Alligator mississippiensis: one gene and its partners. The protein of the gene in region 1 binds, or shares a complex with, the protein of each later gene. Links are inferred from orthologs where the notes say so. Each region holds a gene or a part of one and is shown on either strand. Other genes may lie near its edges.

Region 1 (7,345 bases):
GTGCATGTGTTAGTACAGAATTTGCCACAGTTCTCACAAATCTATTTCCTAATCTCAAACAGGCTTTTTGGGAACTACTACAATAAAATACAATTAGCTATGTTCCTTAAGAGCTTCCCTTCAAGTTAAGTTTGTTTTGTTGGCATGCATTCTAAAAAAAGTCAAATATGTAAAACTTAAGTAACATATCCCCTTACAGAAGGATATAGTTTTCATTGTGTGTACTGGAGACATGTAACCTTACAGGGAAGCTTTACTAAAGAATTTAGGAATCCTCATACTAGTTTCAGTTTAAGGGACTTTTAATGCTTCTCCCCTATTTGTTTGCAGCATTTATATAAAAAGCCTCCTGCCCTGATGTAAATATTTTTCTGCCTCAAGAACATATAATTAATAAATGCATTAGTCAGTAGTCACTGACCCAATTGATATAGGCACCTCAACTTTCTTGCCTGTTGTTTCTAGATTATTTTTTCCTCCAACTATTTTCCATTATACATATAATTAATTATCCCTGAAGCTAACATGACACAAAAATGTATCCATTCTGGGACTAAGTGCTCTAAATTTCTTCTGATAAAACCTTAACTAAGAATCCAGTGTTTACATTTCACACAGAATAGACAATAGAGCCAGACATATCACTCCCACTTTTGTTTCTAGACTTGTGAACTGTCTTGTTCTCAGGCTGAGAAAGAGAAGTGTAGAAGCTTTTCAACAGCAAAGGCCCCAGTAGCACTGTACCAGGAACGTGAAAAATCCATATAATTTACATGGAAAGTTAAGTTCCATTGTCATATACACACACATGATTACTGCAGTTGTCCATACTTGAATCTCTGTCCATATTTTCCTTAGAAGTAGTCCAAGACTGAAACAACAGTCTTGTTGCATATAAAGAACAAATTATGGCACAGAGATGATGCCCATTTTCAAGGCCGACCGATTCCCTCCCCCTCTACTACTGAATGCTAAAGTTGTCCTAAACCACATAAGTAAAACTTGACTTCAGATTCTTCAAAAGGAAAGTCCCTTGAATTTGGGGGCAAGAAAAAGGTCATTTAAACTATCATTTGGAGGTCATGGCATTAGAAGAGTGGTTCTCAACCTTTTTAGACTCAAAGCAACCCTGGAGAGACTCAACCCTTCAGAAAATGCCAGCTTCATTTTTCTGACTACAGAAAAATGATAGAGCAATTCTTTTTCCAAGAACTCAGAAAAACCGCAACAATGCATTTCTATTTGAAACTTCTGGGTTTATTTCATGAGTCACATCTGTAAACCTAATAGCACTGAAACTGCATGGTACCCCATGGCCCCCCTGAAAGGATCTCAAGGAACCCCATGATGCCGTGGCTCTGTGGCTGAGAATCGCTGTTAGAAACAAGGTAAATCCAAGTAGACTTTACAACTTCTCATCGTAAGCAAGACCTACATACACTTCTGCATCTCACATAGGACCACAGGATTATTTTTTACATGAGGCATCAAGCTAGATAAGAGCAGGGAAGGTGAGTTTAAACATGGCTGATTATTTACACATGAGTAGTATATGTGTATGGGGTTTAGGGCACAAGACCCTTGAGATCCCTTCCAACTCTGGAAGCCTTCAGCTGGCCTCTGAGATCAGCATCAGGAAAAGAGGCCATATGTGCATGTACATCTGTGCATGTGTGCGTACACATATTACATATAATGTATATGATACAGATGTGTACACACACATACACAGACATATACATACCCACTACATATAAAGTCTACATACACTATGTGTGCACATGCATGTGTATACAGGCCCATACAATGTATGTACACTATATATGTGTGCACATGTGTATACACACCTATATAATGTATGTACAGTATATACATTTGTGCATGCACGAGCATGTGTGCATAGGCATATACGCTGTATATATACCTACATGCATTATATATGATCTACAACACACATGCACACACATCTATACATATATGCACCCACACTGCATACTTTAGATTGATGGCTAGACAGATATAGTGTATACACATTATTAAAGTGTGTATACACACATATATACATATACACCCCCCCAACATTACACTATATATATATATATATATATATATATATATATATATATATATATATATATATTAGTGATAGAGATGGATAGGTAGGTAGGTACAGCATAGGCACATTATGTAGGTATGTGTATATCCATACATATACAGTATGCATCCACACTGTTTAGAGCTAGATAGATAGCGTATAGACACATTGAATAGGTCAGCGGTTCCCAACCTTTTTTTCCCCGCCATGCCCCGCTGCTGGGAGCGGCATGTGGTGGCCCAGGGAGCCCCTGGCACACGGTGCGGCGGCTCATCTTTTCTGTGCAGTGCTACCAGCATTGCCCATGACCCTCATTTGGGTCGTGGCCTGGGGTTGGGAACTGCTGCTATAGGTAAACACGCACACATATATACATACGCATGTGTGGGGGTGTGTACATATCCACCCACCCACATATACAGAGAATGTACACGTATTACACAGCTGTGTAATTTTTTTTGCAAAAAAAATCTTGTTGGTCTAATAAAATATATAATCTCTTACTACGAGTCCTGATTGCACATAGCTGTGTATACACGTACAGACACACAGACACCCACACACACCCTCGCCCGGGCCTCGGCGGGCTGCTTCCCCCTTGGCGGCGGGGCCGGGCCGAGGCCGGAGCGGAGCGGAGCGGGGCGCGGCGCTGCCTCTCCCGCCGCGCCGCGGGGCCAGGAGCCCGCCCGGCCCGGGACCCCCAGCGCGGGGGGCCAGAGGGCTGCCCCGCCCCGCATTGCACTGCACCGCCTAGCCCGGCCCGGCCCAGGGCGGTGGCCCCTGCACGCCCCACTCCCAACGCCTCTTACCCTCACCCCGGCGTCACCTCCGCTGCTGGTCCTGCTGCCCCGGCAGCTCACGACCCCAGACCTGCCCGGCCCGGCCCGGCCCAGCAGGCGCTGCCAGCTGCTGCAGTGTCAGCGGGCGGGGCGGGGCGGAGCGGGGCGGAGCGGAGCGCGGCGGTCCTGCCCGCCCCAGCCGGCTGTGGGGCGGTGCCTGCAGCGACCTCCCCGCCTCGCCCCGCCCCGCCCCGCCCCGCCCGCACTGGGGGCGGCTGTGCCGGGCTCGGGCCAGTCCTGGGTTTTGGGAAGGGTGGCGCATCCTGTGACGAGCTAGTTGTTGGGGCTGGTGCTGCTTTGAGGGGTTGGGCTCGATGCCCTCCTGAGGTCTGTTGCAGCCCTCCTCTTCTGTGAGCCTGTGATCCTGGCACTGCACCTGCTCACTCCCCCGTTCAAATGGAAAGGAGAGGCTTTCCCACTAGGCTGGGGCCGCAGCGCTGCCTTCTTCAGCTGCAGCAGGAGGCAAAAAAACAAATAAGGCCCCTTTTAGAGCGTGTTAAAAACCCGTCGGCCGCTGCAGAAGCCCCTAAAGCGGCGTTCCCCAATGTGTGGGTCGCGACCCAGAAGTGGGTGGACTTGAACAAACTTGAAAAAGGGATTGGCCTTTAAAGGAGGAAAATGTTGGAAACCGGGTGTTTTCCCTTGCAGGCTGGCAGAGGTGCAGCCTACAAGGGGCTGCTTGCCCCCTCCCTCCTCCCCCATGCCTCACCCACCCACACACACTGGGGGAGCAGGTCAGGAGTGCAGGGCCCTGGACCTAGACTGGCCATTGCTGTTTACAAATGGGTCCTGGTACAAACAAAAGGTTGAGAACCAGTGCCCTAATGGACAGCAGGGTGAAAAGAAAGCAGAAGAAAGGCTAGGTTGCTGGCTGGAGCCTCCAGAGCATGAAAAAAGATGGGAAGGTTGTTCACCCGTCACATGAAGGGCTTAGGAAGGATCAGGGACAATGAGCCACAACGTCAAGCAAGTCCCTCAGTGCTGCCTGACTCAAAATGCTGCCACTTCCATTGGACGGTAGGGCTGCTCTAGGACAGTGCAAAGCAGGGTATGGATGATGTGGCACTTTATCACATAAGACACTACACATCTTTTCCTCCAGTTAAAAGAGTCATTAACATCACCTATGTCTGTCCCCTGATAAAGGGCTGTTCAATGGGTGGCCTGGAGGCCACATGTGGCCACCAAGGGGTTGTCTTGCAGCCATGGGTTTTGAAAAGGGCTGTGCAACTGATATGGTGCATCACCACAGATGACACTTTTTTGTCCCAGTTAAAAGAGGAACTGGAAGCTTTACTAATACGCTAGAGGCCTCGTGCTATATTATTCAGTTTAAGATCAAAGCAAAAACAAATCTAACTTTATTAGCATGTTCCCTCATTTGCTAGATTCTAAATTAAGTTTAAAAAACACAAGAAACTAGACAAAAATGGTCAAAATAGTCAAGATACTGTGCCATTAGTCCTCCAGTCATCATTGTTAAATGTACATCTCTTATTCAAATTGGTAAAACAAAATCTGCTCTTCCTGAGAGTTTTGAGAGTGCCTCCAATACTTCACTGTCAGTTGTTTCTACACTGAATTAATATTACTACACCTGAGTTAAGGTTTTTAGCTGGAGCTAGAAAACAGTCTGCTGGGCTTTGAAATAGAAGAGAGATATTACCAGGAATGGCTGGCAGACAGCAAACTTGCAGAAAGACGGTTTGAATAGTGGAACATCAAAGACATTAAAATGTAGAGAGGGTCGTTAACCCCTATGGAATGAAGAGACATTAGCAGGAATCAGGTAGATTTTAGTAAGCCGTGAAGTAAATTGACTCCCTCAGTGTTGCCTGATTAGAAATGGAACCAGTAGGTTGGTTTTTAAGTTTGGGTACAGCAGGAATCAAGGAGGGGTGCAACTGCACCACTGCACCCCCACTACATCTGCTGCTGGACAGGGTGATCCTCATGGCAGGTCCCTTGGCCCCACCTGGCCCAGGGTCAGGAGGTAGCCTAGGCACTGCAGACAATGCATGCAGCTGGTCCTGCCACCCTGGGTGCAGAGGTGCCACCCGGCATAAGGTACAACCTGCCCTATCCCTAAATGCAGCTCTTGGGCACACCAGAAGCTGTAGTCTGGGGGCTGGGTGGCACGGCAATGGGGTAGCAGCTGTGGCAGCATGGTGGCCTGACTCTGCTTCCCGGCAGTCCCCATGATGGCAGTTCGCTCTGCCCTCACGCTTCCAGCTGCCACTGCCAGTGTTTCCACCACCACTACTGGACCCAGTCCTGCTGCCCAGGCACCCTGGCCCATCCACCCTGCACCTACTGATCAGAATGGGCAAGCAAGTGGGCAAGGTCTCCATGGAGTTTGGCTCAGGGCCCCCGCAAACTGGGCAAGCTCAGCCAAGCTCAGCCAAGTGAATGGGATGGGGTCATGGGCAGGTCGGGAGCAGAGTCTGGGAGTAGAATGGGTAGCTGGGGCCAGGGCTGGGTTCACAGGGCAGTGATAGAGTGGGGCCAGGGCCCAAGGCAGAGCCATGATCTGCTCCTCACATGTCCCTGCAACAGGCACTGCTCCCTGCCTACTCACGGCCCTATTCCATCTGCCTGGCCAAGCACACCCTGCCCCCAGGGGTCCTTGGTCAGTCTTTATGGAGACCCTGCCAGCCTGTTCTGTCCAGTGCCCCTGGTTGTGGATGCGGGGCCGATGGGCCTCGGGTCAGACAGGATCAGTTAGCATCTTCCCAGCCCCCCACCCCACCCCATGCACCCTGCCAGGCAGTGTAAACAGCTGTAACGGGGGGGCAGAGGCCAGGTCAGCACTACCCCCCTCCTCTCCTCTGGCCCTCCACATCTCACCAAAACTCCTTAAGTGGCCCTCCAGCCCAAATAATTGCCCACCCCTGTCTTAGTAGAATTTTAAATGCCAACTTGAACAAAAAATTGTGGAACAAGTTCCTCAGACTGGCTTGTGTGAAGCATAGTCTAAACAGGGATCCTTATCCCATTACCTGGATTAGCTTTAGTGACCCCTTCATCCATACAAGTGCATTATTTGTTTGCCCCTCTGAGCACTGCCCCTTTCCCCTACAGTCTCCAGCCTCCCTTCCTTCCCTGTCTTTTGCATCAAAATCACGCAGTGCTGGTATTGCTCAATCTTTTGGCCCCATGGGCTAGGTAAGTGTTGCAGGGCTGGTCTGTGGGCCAAACTGGGGTCTGTGCTGCCTCTGCCAGATCTCTGCCACCTCGCTCAGATTTGCACCATCTTGCTCAGATCCGTGCTACCCTGATCAACTTTATGCTGCCCTGCTCAGCCCTATGCCATCCCACTCAGCCATGTGCCATGCTACCCTGGGACATCCCACTCAGCCTCATGCACTCAGTCTAGTACACAGGGTCATGCTGTCCAGCCCATAGGGCTCCCCCTGGGTCTAGAAATATGACAACAGAGGAGGAGCAATTAGCTGCCACCACTCCCCTGCCACCAGATTTTCAAACCCAGGCAGAGTCCTATGGACCAGATCCAGCCCACAGGCCAGGGCTTCAGCATTCTGATTTATTTGGTAGCCTGCTCTCTGCATGCCCTTTCTTAGCATCTGATAAAGTTGGCTCTTACTATGAAAGCTTATGCATCTCTGATTCAGTTAATCTGTAAGGTGCATCTCTACCCTGCCTTCTTCAGTAAGCAATAATGCCACAATTCTAATAGCTGAGGCATGCTTCACACACATACTGAGCTAAGCCTTCTAGCCAAGACCTCACTATTTCCACAGAAGTGGTTGGTAGTACCATCAATAGTACACATTGTATGCTCACTTTGCATCCATGGTGTCCATGCAGTATCTTATCCAGTGATTTTATTTCTGAAAACAATCTTAAATCTCAACTCTTCAGTCATTACTATTTCAATAAGGTATAACTAAAATATGTGTATTTAAAAAAATCACATAAGCACACAACTCCAAGTCAATGGCCAATTAAGTAAGTTTTTAAATAGCCATGTTTTCTGTGGAAATCAAATAGAAACACATTTTTAATTTTCGCTTGCCTGTTATAAAGATATGTGGGAAATGTTACCACTAGAAAAATGCATTAACAGAGCTAAGAACCGGCTCCTTCTTGGTTACATAAGCACCTCAATGGGACTTACCTGGAATTTAGGTGCCCATGTTCCAAATACTGATTTCTATTGGCTCTGTTCCAGCAGCCCCAGAGTTCAGTAGGTGCCCACATTCAGATGGCACTTGGACTCCATTTTGGACTCCAAAATTTCTTGGGTACTTTGCCTGCACTTGGTGTTTGAATATGCACAGACGTGATTCAAGTTGATCACTTGTTCATCTAAGTCTCCTCCTGTCCAGTCCCTCCTTCCAATCAAGAGTGGTTTTAGGGCAATGCCGAAGTTCCTAATCTTCTAGTCAAA
Region 2 (7,381 bases), on another chromosome or scaffold:
TGGCTACACTAGAATTAAACCACCTAGAAAGATCAGGATTATGCTAGATGATACAGTCCTTCCTGGGCCAGTTTTATGGACAGCTTCAAAGACAATGACTAAAACCCTGAACTTGACCAATTGGCTGAGAGCTAGTTATGTGAAAGGAACAATTCTGTGTTACCAAGCCTACAATCTGCTGGATTCTAAACAAGCCATAGCCTTTTCTTAGGTTTCACTTCTCAGTTCACAGAGTTACAGAAAGTCAGCCCTGGTGGTCACAAGGCTATACTCCCATAGAACAATACTGTACATTGCTGGTTTGCCCTAGCCACTCCTCTAGTGGAGAAACAAAGCTGGCCAGACAGGCAGGAGGCAACTACGTGTCAGGCCATGCAACAAGAGAACATGCTGACTGCGAGGAGATTCGTCCACACTGGTAGAAATCCCTTCCTCTGGCTCCTTCCTTTTTTCAGTTCTTGAAATACACGATAAGCTCATCGTGGGACTTACAGGGAGACCAGCTGCCGGGAGGGAGGGGTGCTTTACCTACCACTAGCACCAGCCTCCCATTAAAACAAAGACATACAAGGAAAAGCATCCTCTTGCCAGCATCGCTTCCTGCACTGGATACTGCTATTGAGCCCATTTCTCATGAGCCAGTTTCCCTGAGCAGCGCAGGTCTCATACAGGAAAGAAAAGTAGTTTAGAGCAGTGGTGCAAGGATTGCCAGGTCTTAAATACAAATTATTATATTGGAAGCTCAAAATTATTATATTTGCTGAAAAACTATCGTACACTGAAAAAATATGCAACTAAGTATGCAAATAAGTCATCTTCTTACTTACTGTAAGTTGCCAGTGAGCAAGTAAGAACTGGGTCAAACTCAAAACATTTCTTTATTTTAAGGCAAGCAGCCATAAGAAAGTCCTGTAACAAGCCCAAAATGTAGAGGGAATCCAAATTCCAAGACTTCCGGGCTTAAGCCTGCACGTAGGATGCTTGCCAATTAGAGGTGCACCGACTGGTTCATATCGGACTGGCACCGATAAGAAGAAAACTGACATTATCAGCAATCAGCTTTTTTTGGCTAGTGTAGCCAATAATGTCACCAATAAATGCTGCATGGATCTGCGCAGGCACAGCATGCATGTGGCCAGGAATGCAGCCTGGCAGCTTGGAGAGCAGCATCCAGGCAATAAGTCTGTGGTAGGGAAAGGCAGGGGCATAGGGCTGCAGATCGAGGCCCCCACAGTGAGGGAGGGAGTAGGGCTGGGTCAGGGGCTGCCCAGTCAGGACAGGGCAAGAAGTGGGATGGAGCTGCAGGTGGCTAGTCCGGGGGGGGGGGGGGGGACGGACACGACACAGCTCCCTGATGCTGTGCACACCTCTGGGGGAGACATGGGGGCATGCGTCCCCCAGATTTCTGCATGCAGCGGGCTGTTCACTGCGGGCTCAGGGCCAGGGGCTGCACCAGCCTCTTCCTGGTGGGGGGCTAGGTGGGACTGGGGCTGTACGTGGGGTGGGTGGGGGCAGGACAGGCAACAGCAGCACTGGGGGCAGGGGCTACAGGGAAAGCTACAGCCACCCCAAAATTAGCTGTAGCCACTCCATAGCCTCCCACTCCCAGGGCCACTGCCACCCACCCCAGCCCTGCCTGCCCTGAGCACAGCCCCGGCCCAGCTCTCCCGCCAGGAAGAGGCTGGCGCAGGCCCTGGCCCCAGCCCACAGTGGGCAGCCCTCCCTGTCCCGTGCAGAAATCCAAGGTACACATGGCCTCCATGCCTCCCACAGATTTGCGCACAGTGGCGGGAGCTGCCCCCCCTCGCTGCGCCTCCGTCCCACATCCCACCCCAGCTGGGCAGTGCCTGCTCCTGCCCCACTCCCTCCCTCACCAAGGGGGCCTTGATCTACCCCCGCCATGCCCCTTCCCTCCCCCTCCCCTTCCACCCCACAGACTTACCAGCTGGACCATGCTCCCCAAACTGCTAGGCTGCATGTCAGCAATCAGATCTGCATCAGCCAATATAGCTGGTTAACAATTGATCATCAGTATCAGCCAAAAAAATCTTTATCGTTGCACCCCTACTGCCAATGGACTTGGGAGTATCTGAAGTCCTCAGGAGACAGCCTGGGACAGAGGACGCTCACGGGTTCTAGCGCCACACACGGTGTTCAGAATGATCGAGTTCTGCCAGCTCAGTCGACGCGGGCTTTGAAACGATTGAGTTCTGGCTCAATTGATAGGATTTGGCTAGTTTGACCTGGAACACGAACAATATTAACAAAAAACTTCCCAAGAGCGCCTTGGGTTTTGCATATGCTGCCTCAATGAGCTGCCTCAAAAGTTATTGGACATTTTGAACACTTTTACTACTGTTGAGTGTATATCATACGAGGGTTGAAATGATGGCACAAATACAGTAATGCCTGCACACCCACAGGGTCACCAATCTGTTTGAATATATTCCGTGAGGTTTCACATAAGGACTTTAATTACAGCGTGCAGATTTACATCAGCAAGGCAAATGCACATTACTGTTACATTTTAAAAGCGCACTGGACTACTGTATTTAACATTTATTTTAAAGAGTGCCCCATCATTTACCCCCTGGGTGACTCCCAGCAGTCTCCTGGAGATTCACAGATAATCCCTGGGATCCAAGGCAATCCTGGAGGGGTGGCACTGGCACCCTACACACGCGGCTACACTGAGAGGTGCTCGGACGCTGTGGCGGGCACCCCGATGGGCAGTGCCGGGGCAGTACCCGGCCCGGATCCAGCGGCACAGTGGAAGTGGAAGGGGCCGGGGCCGGGCCGGCAGCTCCCCCGACCCGGGCCGCACTCACTCACCGGCCAGGCCGCCCCGTAGGCGCTCGGGGAGGACGCGCAGCTGCCCGTGCAGCTCCCGGAAGATCTCGTGCAGCCGCTCCAGGTGCTCGGAGGAGCCCGGGCCCCGCACTGCCATGACGGCGATGACAGAGGCAGCCCCTGCCCAGACCCTGCCGCCCGCTCCGCGCCGCTACTTCCGGGATGTGTGAGAGGGGGCCTCCCTCTGTCTCGCGAAGGGGGTGCCCTAATTGGCGCCTGATCAGAAAAAAAAAAAGAAGGAAAAAAAAAAAAAGCTCCGTCCGGAGCAAGCTGAAGGCAGGCTCCAGCTGCCTGTCGAGGAAGAGTCGGGGGGAGATATTCGGGAGGTCCAACTTTGCTCCCAACGGTGACTAACGAATCAAGCGCGCACTTACGTCACCTTAGAGGGCATCATCAGGACCCCGGGGCGCGCAGGGCATGCTGGGAATTGTAGGCCGGCGTAGGGACAGTCATAAGGCGGTCACGGGAGTGCCGGGCTAGTGCGGACGGCGGCGTGGTTCTATGCGGATGCGCTCAGATGACTCCAGCCAGGTGTCCAATCTCCTTTTAAGCACCTCCAGGGAAAGGAACAGCACCACCTCTCTTGGAGCTTATTCTGTATTTTGGCAACCCTCACTATAAAGGTTTTATTTCCTGATGTCCAATCTGAATTTGCTGTCTTCCAGTTTGTGGCCATTATTTCTACTTACCCTGACAGCCGCACTGGTAAACATTGTATCCCCTATTTCTTGCTAACCCCCCCCCCCAATGAGTTTGTAGGCGCCCATGCAATTACCTCTCAGCCTCCTCTTACGGAGGCTGAAGAGGTTCAGTTCTCCCAGTCAGTCCACTTAGGGGGTTTTCTGTAGGCCTTTAACCAGATGAGTGGCCCTCCTCTGAGCCCTCTCCAGGCCATCCGCATCCTTCCTGAAGTGTGGTGCCCAAAACTGGATGCAGTACTCCAGCTGTGGCCTGACCAGTGCTGCATAGAGGGGAAGTATCACCTCCCTAAACCTGTTTGTGATGCACCTACTTATGCAAGACAGGGTGCGGTTAGCTTTACTTAACTATCTCATCACACTGGTGACTCATGTTCATTTTGGAGTCGACTAAGACTCCGCGATCCCTTTCTGCAGTTGTGTTACTGACACTTATCCTTGTTAAACTGCATCCTATTCTGTTCGGTCCATTTCCCCAGCCTGTCCAAATCAGCCTGGATTCACTTTGTGCCGTGTAGTTTGTGTACATCAGGCACAGAGGGAGATGATCCCGATGGGAGGAAAAAGAGGGAAAGGGGCCAGGAGGCTTCCTTGGCTGACCACAGAAATCCAGGGCAGCCTAAGGGCCAAAAGGGGAGCACATAAAAAGTGGAAACAGGGAGAGATCACCAAAGATGAGTATACCTCCTCTGCTCGTGCTTGTAGGGAGGCAGTTAGACGGGCCAAAGCTACCATGGAGCTGAGGATGGCATCCCAAGTAAAGGACAACAAGAAATTGTTTTTTAGATATATAGGGAGTAAAAGGAAGGCCCAGGGTGGAATAGGACCCCTGCTAAATGGGCAGAAACAATTGGTGACGGACAGAGGGGACAAGGCTGAACTCCTCAACGAGTTCTTTGCCTCAGTGTTCCTAAGTGAGGGGCACGACAAGTCTCTCACTGGGGTTGTAGAGAGGCAGCAGCAAGGCGCCAGACTACCGTGCGTAGACCCTGAGATGGTGCAGAGTCACTTGGAAGAACTGGATGCCTTTAAGTCAGTAGGCCCGGATGAGCTCCATCCGAGGGTGCTGAAGGCACTGGCCGACATCATTGCACAGCCAATGGCGGGAATATTTGAAAGCTCGTGGCGCACGGGCCAAGTCCCGAAGGACTGGAAAAGGGCCAATGTGATCCCCATTTTCAAGAAGGGGAGGAAGGAGGACCCGGGCAACTATCGGCCAGTCAGTCTCACCTCCATCCTTGGCAAAATCTTTGAAAAAATTATCAAGGCTCACATTTGCGAGAGCCTGGCAGGACAAATTATGCTGAGGGGAAACCAGCACAGGTTCGTAGCAGGTAGATCCTGCCTGACTAATCTAGTCTCTTTTTATGACCAGGTTACGAAACGCCTGGACACAGGAGGAGGGGTGGATGTCGTATACTTAGACTTCAGGAAGGCCTTCAATATGGTATCTCACCCCATACTGGTGAACAAGTTAAGAGGCTGTGACTTGGATGACTACACAGTCCGGTGGGTGGTGAATTGGCTAGAGGGTCACACCCAGAGAGTCGTGGTGGATGGGTCGGCGTCGACCTGGAAGGGTGTGGGCAGTGGGGTCCTGCAGGGCTCGGTCCTTGGACCAATACTCTTTAATGTCTTCATCAGCAACTTGGACGAGGGAGTGAAGTGTACTCTGTCCAAGTTTGCAGATGACACAAAGCTATGGGGAGAAGTGGACATGCCAGAGGGCAGGGAACAGCTGCAAGCAGACCTGGACGGGTTGGACAAGTGGGCAGAAAACAACAGAATGCAGTTCAACAAGGAGAAATGCAAAGTGCTGCACCTAGGGAGGAAAAATGTCCAGCATACCTACTGCCTAGGGAATGACCTGCTGGGTGGCACGGAAGAGGAAAGGGATCTTGGAGTCCTAGTGGACTCCAAGATGAACATGAGTCGGCAGTGTGACGAAGCCATCAGAAAAGCCAATGGCACTTTATCGTGCATCAGCAGATGCATGACGAATAGATCCAAGAGGTGATACTTCCCCTCTATTGGGCGCTGGTCAGATCGCAGTTGGAGTACTGCATGCAATTCTGGGCACCGCACTTCAAGAGAGATGCAGATAACCTGGAGAGGGTCCAGAGAAGGGCCACTCATATGGTTAAGGGCTTGCAGACCAAGCCCTACGATGAGAGACTAGAGAACCTGGACCTTTTCAGCCTCCGCAAGAGAAGGTTGAGAGGCGACCTTGTGGCTGCCTATAAGTTCATCACGGGGGCACAGAAGGGAATTGGTGAGGTTTTATTCACCAAGGCACCCCCGGGGGTTACAAGAAATAATGGCCACAAGCTAGCAGAGAGCAGATTTAGACTGGACATTAGGAAGAACTTCTTCACAGTTCGAGTGGCCAAGGTCTGAAACGGGCTCCCAAGGGAGGTGGTGCTCTCCCCTACCCTGGGGGTCTTCAAGAGGAGGTTGGATATGCATCTAGCTGGGGTCATCTAGACCTAGCACTCTCCTGCCTACGCAGGGGATCAGACTCGATGATCTATTGAGGTCCCTTCTGACCCTAACATCTACGAATCTATGAATCCCCCCATAGTTCGGTGTCATCAGCAAGCTTGGACAGGGTGCTTTCTACTCCCTCGTCCAAGTCACCAATGAAGATAATTGAATAGGAGTGGTCCCAGGACAGAGCCTTAGGGGACTCCACTACCTACATTTCTCCAGGTAGAAACTGACCCACCTACCACCACTCTCTGGGTGTTTCTACCTGCCGGACCCTGTAATAATCTATATTGCAACTGTTTAGTTTATTAATAGGAATTGGGTGGGACACTATGTCAAAGGCCTTTTTAAAATCTAAGTAAATAACATCTACTTCTACTCCTCCATTCAAGCATTTTGTGACCTGGTCATAAAATGAAACCAGGTTAAGTCAGGCAGGATCTGCCTGCTATGAACACATACTGATTGCCCCTTAGCATCATTTTACCCACTGGTCCCCCACAAATGTTATCCTTAACAATTTTCTCAAAGGTCTTGCCAAAGATAGAGGTAAGACTAACTGGCTTATAGTTACCCGGTTCATCCTTCCTCCCCTTCTTGAAAATAGGGACCACATTGGTCCTTTTCCAATCCTCTAGGACGAGGATGCTCAAACAGTTGTGCCAGCGGCTCCACTATGACTCCAGTTAATTCCCTAAGTACTCTAGGACGAAGATCATCAGGACCTGTTGACTTAAATACATTCAACCCCTCCAGGTGCCCCATTACTAGGTCAGCAAAAACAGTTGGTGGGTTGGTATCTATACTGGGCTTACCTAAGGTCCTAATGGGATTCATAGATTCACAGATGAAGGGTCAGAGGGGACCTGAGCAGATCATCAAATCCGACACCCTGCCCTGGGCAGGAATGAATACTGGGCTCATATGACCCCTACTAAGTTTAAGCTCATATGACCCCAGCTAGGTAGTTATCAAGCCTCCTTCTAAAAACCCCTAACATAGGAGCCAGCACCACTTCCCTTGGAAGCTGGTTCCAGATCTTGGCCGCCCTGACTGTGAAGTAGCGCCTCCTCATGTCTAGCCTGAACCTACTCTCTGTCAACTTATGGCTGTTATTCCTTGTTATTCAGGGCAGCGCTCAGGGGAACAGGGTCTCTCAGATTCACCTCTGGTCCTCCCTGGTAAGTTTCTAGATGGCCACTAGATCCCCTCTCAGCCTTCTCTTGTGAAGGCTGAACAGGTTCAGGTCCTGTAGCCTCTCCTCGTAGGGTCTGCCCTGCTGTCCCCTGATCATGTGAGTGGCCCTCCGCTGGACCCTCTCGATGCTGGCCACATCTCTCCTGAAG
Region 3 (7,467 bases), on another chromosome or scaffold:
TGCAGCACTTCCCCCCTAACCTTAGGCTTTTGATTACAAGTCAGCTGGAATGACTACTTCCATTCTCTCACTTGTCAGGAGAAAGTCTTTCCTCTCACCTCCTCTACTTTCAGTAAAGGCAAATAACTTAATATTTCTAAGTGCTGGTTAAACTTCTAACGGGTCTTTCACAGTCAGGAAAATCAAAGATAAATCTTATCTGCATAGTTATATCTATGAATTGTATACCTAGCCTATAGGCAAACTTATAGCCATTAGGCACCAGAAATGTAGATATAGCCATGCTCTACAAGACCCAAATCAAAGCTTCCTGAATGAAGATCTGAACCTACTAATTCAGGCTCCAAGTAAGCTCTCCAACTAGATAGGTGTTAAGACACACAAAGGCAACAAACTCCCAGCCCAAGATAAGGCAGAAAGGAGTAAGACCAGCCTTTACCATCTTCCTCTCCTCCAGGAGGGCCCTGCAGAATGGGGGGGGGGAAATCAGTGTATTAAACAAGTTGGTAGCCTGTACAGTCAAAGCAGAAATGCAAGAATCAGCAAGTAAGCAGAATTACTGCTTTCTGCAATAGCTGAAAGTTTCCCAGCAGTCTTTGAAAAAAGACCAAGGTGAACAGAAGTAATTCAGGAGGCAAGGAAAGCAACAAGAAATTGTGGGAGACAATGCCTTCTACAACACAGGCTGTCACCCTTACACAGAGTACATAGCCTGGAATGTATCCTTTGGACACAATAAAAATAAGCAGGAGCACTCTAAAAGGCTTGGGTTACAAGGAGCTACAACCCAAGTGTTGAAAAGTTTAGTTCTTGTCCTAGCAAAGGTAAAGGACCACTACAAAGAGAACATGACCATTATTAATTACTCGCATACCAAGAGGAGCACATTTGTCTTCTATAAGTAAGAAGATCCTGGCCAGAATTTTGACAGAGGAAGAAGAAATAACAGATGTAACAGTAGAGAGTACTGGGGAAAGTACTCTATGAACTCTCCTGAGGTCAAGAAAAAAAGTTTTCTCCAGCACTAATCAACATATGGTATGTTGCCATACGAGCAGTTAGCCAATCAGATCCAGGCCTTGTTCAAGAGGCTCTTTGAGCAACATTTGCAACAAAATTTAAAAGTGGCAACTTAAACCCAAAAGTGATCCAATGGTTCCTTTTAACTCTTCAATTTCTTAATTCCTTTACTCATTTTAAAATTATTCCACTTGTAAATCAAAGAGCTTCTACTTGCTAGATAGGCTAGAATTACACTATTAAAGAGCAACTGCTGTACTTCTAACACATGAAGACTTCTTTCTCAGTTTTTCCTCTTTAAAAAAATGTGACTATTGAAGGTCTCATTAACCAGGTGAATGTCTGCCCCTGATTTTGTAGCCTATTTAAACCTATAGCTTAAATGATATCAACTGACATCCAGTTCAAAAGGTTAACTAAACAGGTCAGTTTCATTCTCAGGCACCAACAGTCTTGGTGAGATCCAGCTGCTTAACTGCAAACCAAAGAGTTTTCCAAGGAACTGTGTATTAAATGTCACCAAAATATTGTTACTGCTCTGTTAAAAAACCCAAGTCTTGATTTCATGAGACAAGAACATAGGAGTTGCTATTTATTAGATCAGACCATGGGTCCATCTTACCAAGTCCCCATCTCACACAGTGGCAGGGTGTTGAAGCTGAAAGGGAGAGCAAACTGTGTCTGACCAGGGTTTGTTTCTTCACTGCCGCTCTCACTTGCAGCCTCCAGCACTTAAGGTCCAGGAAGTTCCAATTCAGGGGCTGTAGCCCTCCCTCTTAAGCTCCATAGCTACTGGTGGCCTTTTCCTCCAACAATTTGTCCAATGCCTTTTTGAACCTAGCTAAACTTGCAGTTTCCACAACATCTGGTGGCAATGAGCTCCACACTTTAATGCCACACTGTGTGAAAAAGAACCTCCCTTTGTTAGTCTTAAATTTACTACCTACTAAATTTATTTTGTGACCCCTTGTTCTTGTATTGAGAGTACATAATAAATACCCATTTACTTTCTCCTCACCATTTAGTGTTTTGTAAACCCTTATGTCCTTCTACAAGCATCTCTTATCAACTGAATAGTCTCTCCTCATACAGAAGCCGCTCCGTGCTGCTCATCACCCTTGTTGCCCTTCTCCAGGCCTTCTCTAGTTCTTTATATAGAGTTTGAGGCGAGGGGACCAGAATTGGGCACAGTAGTCAAGGTGTGGACACACTGGGGATTTATGAAGTGGCAGGAAGATATTTCTGGTTTTGTTTACAATCCTGTTCTTAACAATCCCCAATATAAGATTAAGGATTATAAAGCACAGGTAAGAATTTACAAGACATTTGCGGAAGGGAGAGAACCCTCTGCTGACAACACCCCCCCCCCCCCAAAACCCTGCTGCTCGCTAGCTAGCTCGCTCCCCACCACAGCAGGCCTTCGCTTGGCTTCTCCAACTCCTCCAACATAAAAGCCCACGTGCCCAATCACAAGCTCACCGATTTCCACAGCCCTCTGGTTTTTGCTTCCAGCAACCCAAATGCTAATGCGGGAACATGTTGCTCAATGCAGGTGCCTGGCTACAACACGGAGTCTCTTCTAGCAGTTGTGAAATTGGGGGGAGGGTAGAGGACGGCGTTACCCAATTACCTCGGGCTCCAGCATCAGCCGACACCACGGCCCCCCGCACTTCCGTCTCACCTTCCCCTTCCCAAGCCCACTCCACTTGTCCCAGCAGCTGCTTCCCGGGGCCCGCCAGGCAGCCCCTCCCGCCGCCCAACAGCGACACTGCGCAAGCAACTGACCGCGGGGGGGGAGGGGAGGGCAGCACCCGAGGGGCCGAGGAGCGCCGCGCCGCTAGCACAGGACGATGCCGCCCCCGCCCGGGGCTAACACTTCCCCCACCCACGCAGGGCCAGGCTCACCCGGGCCGGCCAGCGGCGACGTAAGGGCTGCAGCAGGAGCCCCCGCCCGGCGCGCTGTTTATCTGCTCCCGCCCCTTCGCCGCGGCGCTCGCTCCTCCCGGCCGGCACGTGCACTTCCGCCAGGGGCGCTCCCGACGCCGCGGGGGCTCCCGGGAAATGTAGTTCGGGAGGGGGCGGGAGAGCGGGACGGCTTCCGCGCTCGCCGCGCTGCCTGCTGGGAAGCGGCCCCCGTGTGGGCCGCCGCGCTGCCTGCTGGGAAGGGTAGTTCAGGTGGCGGGAGGGGCCGAGCGCCCCCTGCCGGCCGGGGCAGGCCGCACGCACGACCTCACACACGAGCCACGTGAAATGCAGCCGCGAAGGCGCGGTGGTGGCGGGAGCCGAGGCGGTCGGGCCCGGGCGTTCCGGGAGCGCCTCTGCTGCGCGCCCTGTGGCAGAGCCCGTGGTCTCCGGGCAGGATCTGGGCTGGGCTGACCCGGGTGCTCGGCCTGTGGGCGCGGCGCAAGCGGCTCCAGCGCCGACGGCGGCTGGCAGTACGGGCCCCTTGCTGCCCCTGTGCTGTCAGATCTAGGCCCCGGGTTGTGGGAACAGGGCCCCAATTGCCTCCAGCCCCCCCCGTGCCTGGATCGGTGCCGGGCTCCCCTGCGCCCCGGCTGCAGCCCAGGCGGCTCGCCAAAGAGCCAGGAGGTTGGCAGCAGGCGAGCCACTTCCAGTGCCGCTTCCCCCGGCTCCCGCACTTGCGCCTCACGGCCCAGCCCAATCGGAAACTGAGCAGCGGGCGCGGGACTGGGCGAGGCGCCGGCGCCGTCCCGGGCCAGAAGACGGAAGGCCCTTCGCGCTCCCCCACAGCGACCGCGGCGGATCCCGCGACTCCGGGAGCTGGGGCTTCCCCGAGACCGCAGGCCCCGGTCCGGACTACAGCTCCCAGCGGCCCCGGCGCCGGAGGGGTCGGCCCGGGCAGGCGCCCGCCCCGCACGCCGCAGCCATGGCCGAGGAGGTGGAGAGGAAGCCGGTGCTGGAGACGGTGAGTGCGGGCAGCCGCTGCCCCCGGCGCGGGGCGGAGCCGCCGCGCGGAGCGGGACCCGCTGTGCTCCGGGGCCGGGACCGGAGCGCGGGTGTCTGCGCGCCGCCGCCGCGCCACGTGCTCGCCTCCCCGGGGTTGTAACCACCGCGGCGGGGGGGGGCGGTGTTTTGTCGCATCTCCAAGGGGTTGGTTTCGCGCTGGTTCTGGTTCTCTCTTTGAATGAGAGGGGGGCGGGGCCAGGAGCTGGAGCTAGACAAGCAACGGGGAATTGGAAACGCGCGCCCCCGACAGCGCTGCTCGCCTGTTTGCACCTGCAGCTGTAGCCAGCAAGCGGCCTGGCCCAGGGAGGAGCCCGGCTGGGTTAATTTTCCTAAAGGGTCTGAGCACAGTTGCATCAGGTTTGAGGCTCATAAGGTCTTTTTGCAACTATGAGATGACTTACTGTTCTTCTAGTATCTGTCATCTCCATGAACTTTTTTTATGAATAAGGGGATCTTTTTAATGCAAGTTAAGCATTCCCAACATTGCTAATTAAGGTGTGGAAAATCTAGCCCTCAATCTAACCTGTGCTTTGGAACTGGAGTGAGCAAGAGGGCGGAGGGGCAGAGACTAGCTATAGAGCCGCAGGGGAGTTGCACATCTGCTCCTAATCTCTCGCCTGTTGTCATTTTGGAGACAGCGGGTGCATCTACATGAGACACTAACAGCCCAACAGCCTAATAATACTGTGCGGTAGCCCATTGCAGCACAAACAGTGCCAGTACACTACTGCCCAGTATTATTAGGCTACTGCACAGTAATGTCACTAAAAAGGTGTTCGCTGGAGCTACTGTTACTGCGCATTTATTTAGTACTTGATTGTTTACCCATCCTCTTGCAAAATATGAAACATCATAACCAGAAGGAAATAATTCATAGAGGTGCATTGATACATTGTTCCAATATCAGATCTGTACTGATATAAAAAAAATTGACTGTCGGAAATCGGCTTTTTTGCCTGATGTGGCGGCGCAGCAGGTGGGTGGTGAGGAGCGCAGCCTGGCAGCTTGCAGAGCTGCATCCAGCTGGTAAGTGGAGCTATGGCTTGTCTGAGGTGGGGCAGAGGCTCCCATCCCTATGCACATCCCAGGAGGGCACGGGTGGGATGTGTGCCCCCCAGATCTGCATGGGAGGGGTGGGCTGTCACTGCAGCGTGGGATCAGGGCTGCCTTGGGCTTTTCCTGGCAGGGGCTGGGTCAGACTGCTAACCGCACAGGGTGGGCAGTGGCGCTGGGTTTGGGCTACGGTGAATTTTGGGGTGGCTGCAGCCCCCACCCCATAACCCCTCTCCCAGTGCTGCTGCCGCCCACCCCAAGCACAGCACAGCTCAGCCCCTGCTGGGAAGAGCCTGGCGCAGCCCCTGCTCCAGCTCTCAGTGGCAGCCCCCTCCTTCCCATGCAGATGTGGGGCGACATGCCCCCCTGAGTCCTCCTGGGGTGCTGTCAGCAGCGGGAGCCCCCCCTCCCTGCACCCCCCAAACAAGCCATGGTTCCATCTTGTGTCCCACTCTGCCTTGGCTGGGCAACATCTGCCCCAGCCCCACTCCCTCCCTCCCTCCCCCTCCCTCCCTCACTACAGGGGCCTCGATCTGCCCCTGCCATGCCCCTTCCCTTCCACCTCCCCTTCCATCACAACAGACTTACCAGCCAGACACTGCTCTTTGCTGCTGGGCTGCGTATCAGAAATCGGATCGTATCGGATGATATGCATCTTTAAGCATCATTTGTTGGTATCAGCCCCAAAAAATCTCTCTTGGATGCACCTCTTTAACATACCACTTACTATCAGACAACTTCAAGGTAAATAGACTGCTCAAACTTTTTATCTGAGCTAAATTTGCACAAAATGAACTTTGCCAACCAGGAGATCTTATACCAGGGGTGGGCAATTATTTCAGGTGGAGGGCTGCTTACTGAGTTTTGGCAAGCCATCAAAGGCCGCATGACAGGGAGCAAGGGGCAGATAAATATTAATTTTCTAAATTTTTTAGGGGCCCGATGGGCAGGATAGAATGGCCTGGTGGGCTGGCCCACAGGCCATATTTTGCCCGCCCCTGTGACTTATACCTTCAACTGTCCTGTGAAATATGAATTTGCATTTCTGCCTAGGAGAAATTTTACCATCTTTGCATTTTCCTATGCCTGAAGAAGTGTGTGTGTACCCAAACGCTTGTGAATAAAGAATTTTTTTTGCAAATATCTTGTTGGTCTAATAAGGTATAACCTCTACCCAGAGTTCTGATTCCAGTAACCTAAATCCAGTTGAAACATCCTCTCTTGGAAAAATGTCTACTGGAGCTGAAAGTGGTATGAAAATTATGTAGCTAACTTTAATTGATCCAGCTCAGCAGTGGTGCAGTTAAATGGTTAATGTATGCTTCTAAAAATGCATTACACATGTGTATGGGGGGAAATTGCATTCCTTTGCAGCAGTGAATTACTTGGAGGTCAGTGCATCCCTGCATGTAAGGGAAGAATTTTTTTTTTCTCTGGGATTTGCAGAAGCATTGGGGGGCCATCCAGACCCACATTCAGGTTCATAGTCTACCAGTGGAAGTTGAGGGTGTTATCTGTCTACATCTGTCTCAGGGTAGTAGCTGTTTGCTAAAAGAAAATAATCTGTTAACTGTTTCCCCTCTGCTTAGTGGCAAGGTGTGGTAATAGCTCTGTACTGTATGCATTACCAAGAGAGAGCTGCAGATCTAGTCATCTTGCACCTAGTGTAATTTACAGAAATGTATAAAACCAACACCTATTCTACCAGGGATTGTTTTTGTGTTTGCTTGCCCATCCCCTGTAATAAGCTGTTTGTCAAGAGGTGTGAAAGTATGATTCAGAGTTAGGATTTCTTTTCTCCTCTTTAGAAACAAGAATAACTTTGTCCAGTGTTTATCTGCACCACAGCCTGTGATGCCAGTTTGTTCTGGTAACATCTTTTATGATGCTAAATAATATTGCTGACAAGTTAATAAGGTAGATTTGATTTAACTCAAATCGATTTTAAAGTGTCATTTAAATAACAATTTAAATCACTGGTCAGGAAGCCTCGATTTAATCATTGTTTTCTACAAAAAGTGCATCCTTGTTTGCAACCTTAATGCATATAATTCATAGATGTTAGGGTCGGAAGGGACCTCAATAAATCGACGAGTCCGACCCCCTGCATAGGCAGGAAAGAGTGCTGGGTCTAGAAGACCCCAGCTAGATGCTTATCTAACTTCCTCTTGAAGACCCCCAGGGTAGGCAGTGGGGTCCCGCAGGGCTCGGTCCTTGGACCGATACTCTTTAATGTCTTCATCAGCGACTTGGATGAGGGAGTGAAATGTATTCTGTCCAAGTTTGCAGATGACACAAAGCTATGGGGAGAAGTAGACACACCGGAGGGCAGGGAACAGCTGCAAGCAGACCTGGACAGGTTGGACAAGTGGGCAGAAAACAACAGGATGCAGTTCAACAAGGAGAAATGCAAAGTGCTGTACCTAG

The links.
Region 2: STX7 (region 1) and VTI1B share a complex: the UniProt entries of both Homo sapiens proteins name them as parts of the SNARE complex. The link is inferred for Alligator mississippiensis from reciprocal best matches to the Homo sapiens genes STX7 and VTI1B.
Region 3: STX7 (region 1) and VAMP7 share a complex: the UniProt entries of both Homo sapiens proteins name them as parts of the SNARE complex. The link is inferred for Alligator mississippiensis from reciprocal best matches to the Homo sapiens genes STX7 and VAMP7.

Annotation. Positions count from the first base shown.
Region 1 is NC_081824.1:115,199,674-115,207,018, forward strand, and holds the start of STX7 (syntaxin-7), read right to left. Parts: upstream 3,040-7,345; 5' UTR 2,911-3,039; exon of another isoform or gene 2,905-2,910; intron 1-2,904. UniProt on the Homo sapiens protein: May be involved in protein trafficking from the plasma membrane to the early endosome (EE) as well as in homotypic fusion of endocytic organelles. Mediates the endocytic trafficking from early endosomes to late endosomes and lysosomes.
Region 2 is NC_081825.1:230,760,563-230,767,943, reverse strand, and holds the start of VTI1B (vesicle transport through interaction with t-SNAREs homolog 1B), read right to left. Parts: upstream 3,043-7,381; 5' UTR 2,948-3,042; coding exon 2,833-2,947; intron 1-2,832. UniProt on the Homo sapiens protein: V-SNARE that mediates vesicle transport pathways through interactions with t-SNAREs on the target membrane. These interactions are proposed to mediate aspects of the specificity of vesicle trafficking and to promote fusion of the lipid bilayers.
Region 3 is NC_081831.1:35,659,408-35,666,874, forward strand, and holds the start of VAMP7 (vesicle-associated membrane protein 7), read right to left. Parts: upstream 3,043-7,467; 5' UTR 2,926-3,042; intron 2,671-2,925; exon of another isoform or gene 2,651-2,670; intron 2,600-2,650; exon of another isoform or gene 2,500-2,599; intron 1-2,499. Other genes in the region: DNA-directed RNA polymerases I and III subunit RPAC2, read left to right, coding at 3,908-3,946. UniProt on the Homo sapiens protein: Involved in the targeting and/or fusion of transport vesicles to their target membrane during transport of proteins from the early endosome to the lysosome. Required for heterotypic fusion of late endosomes with lysosomes and homotypic lysosomal fusion.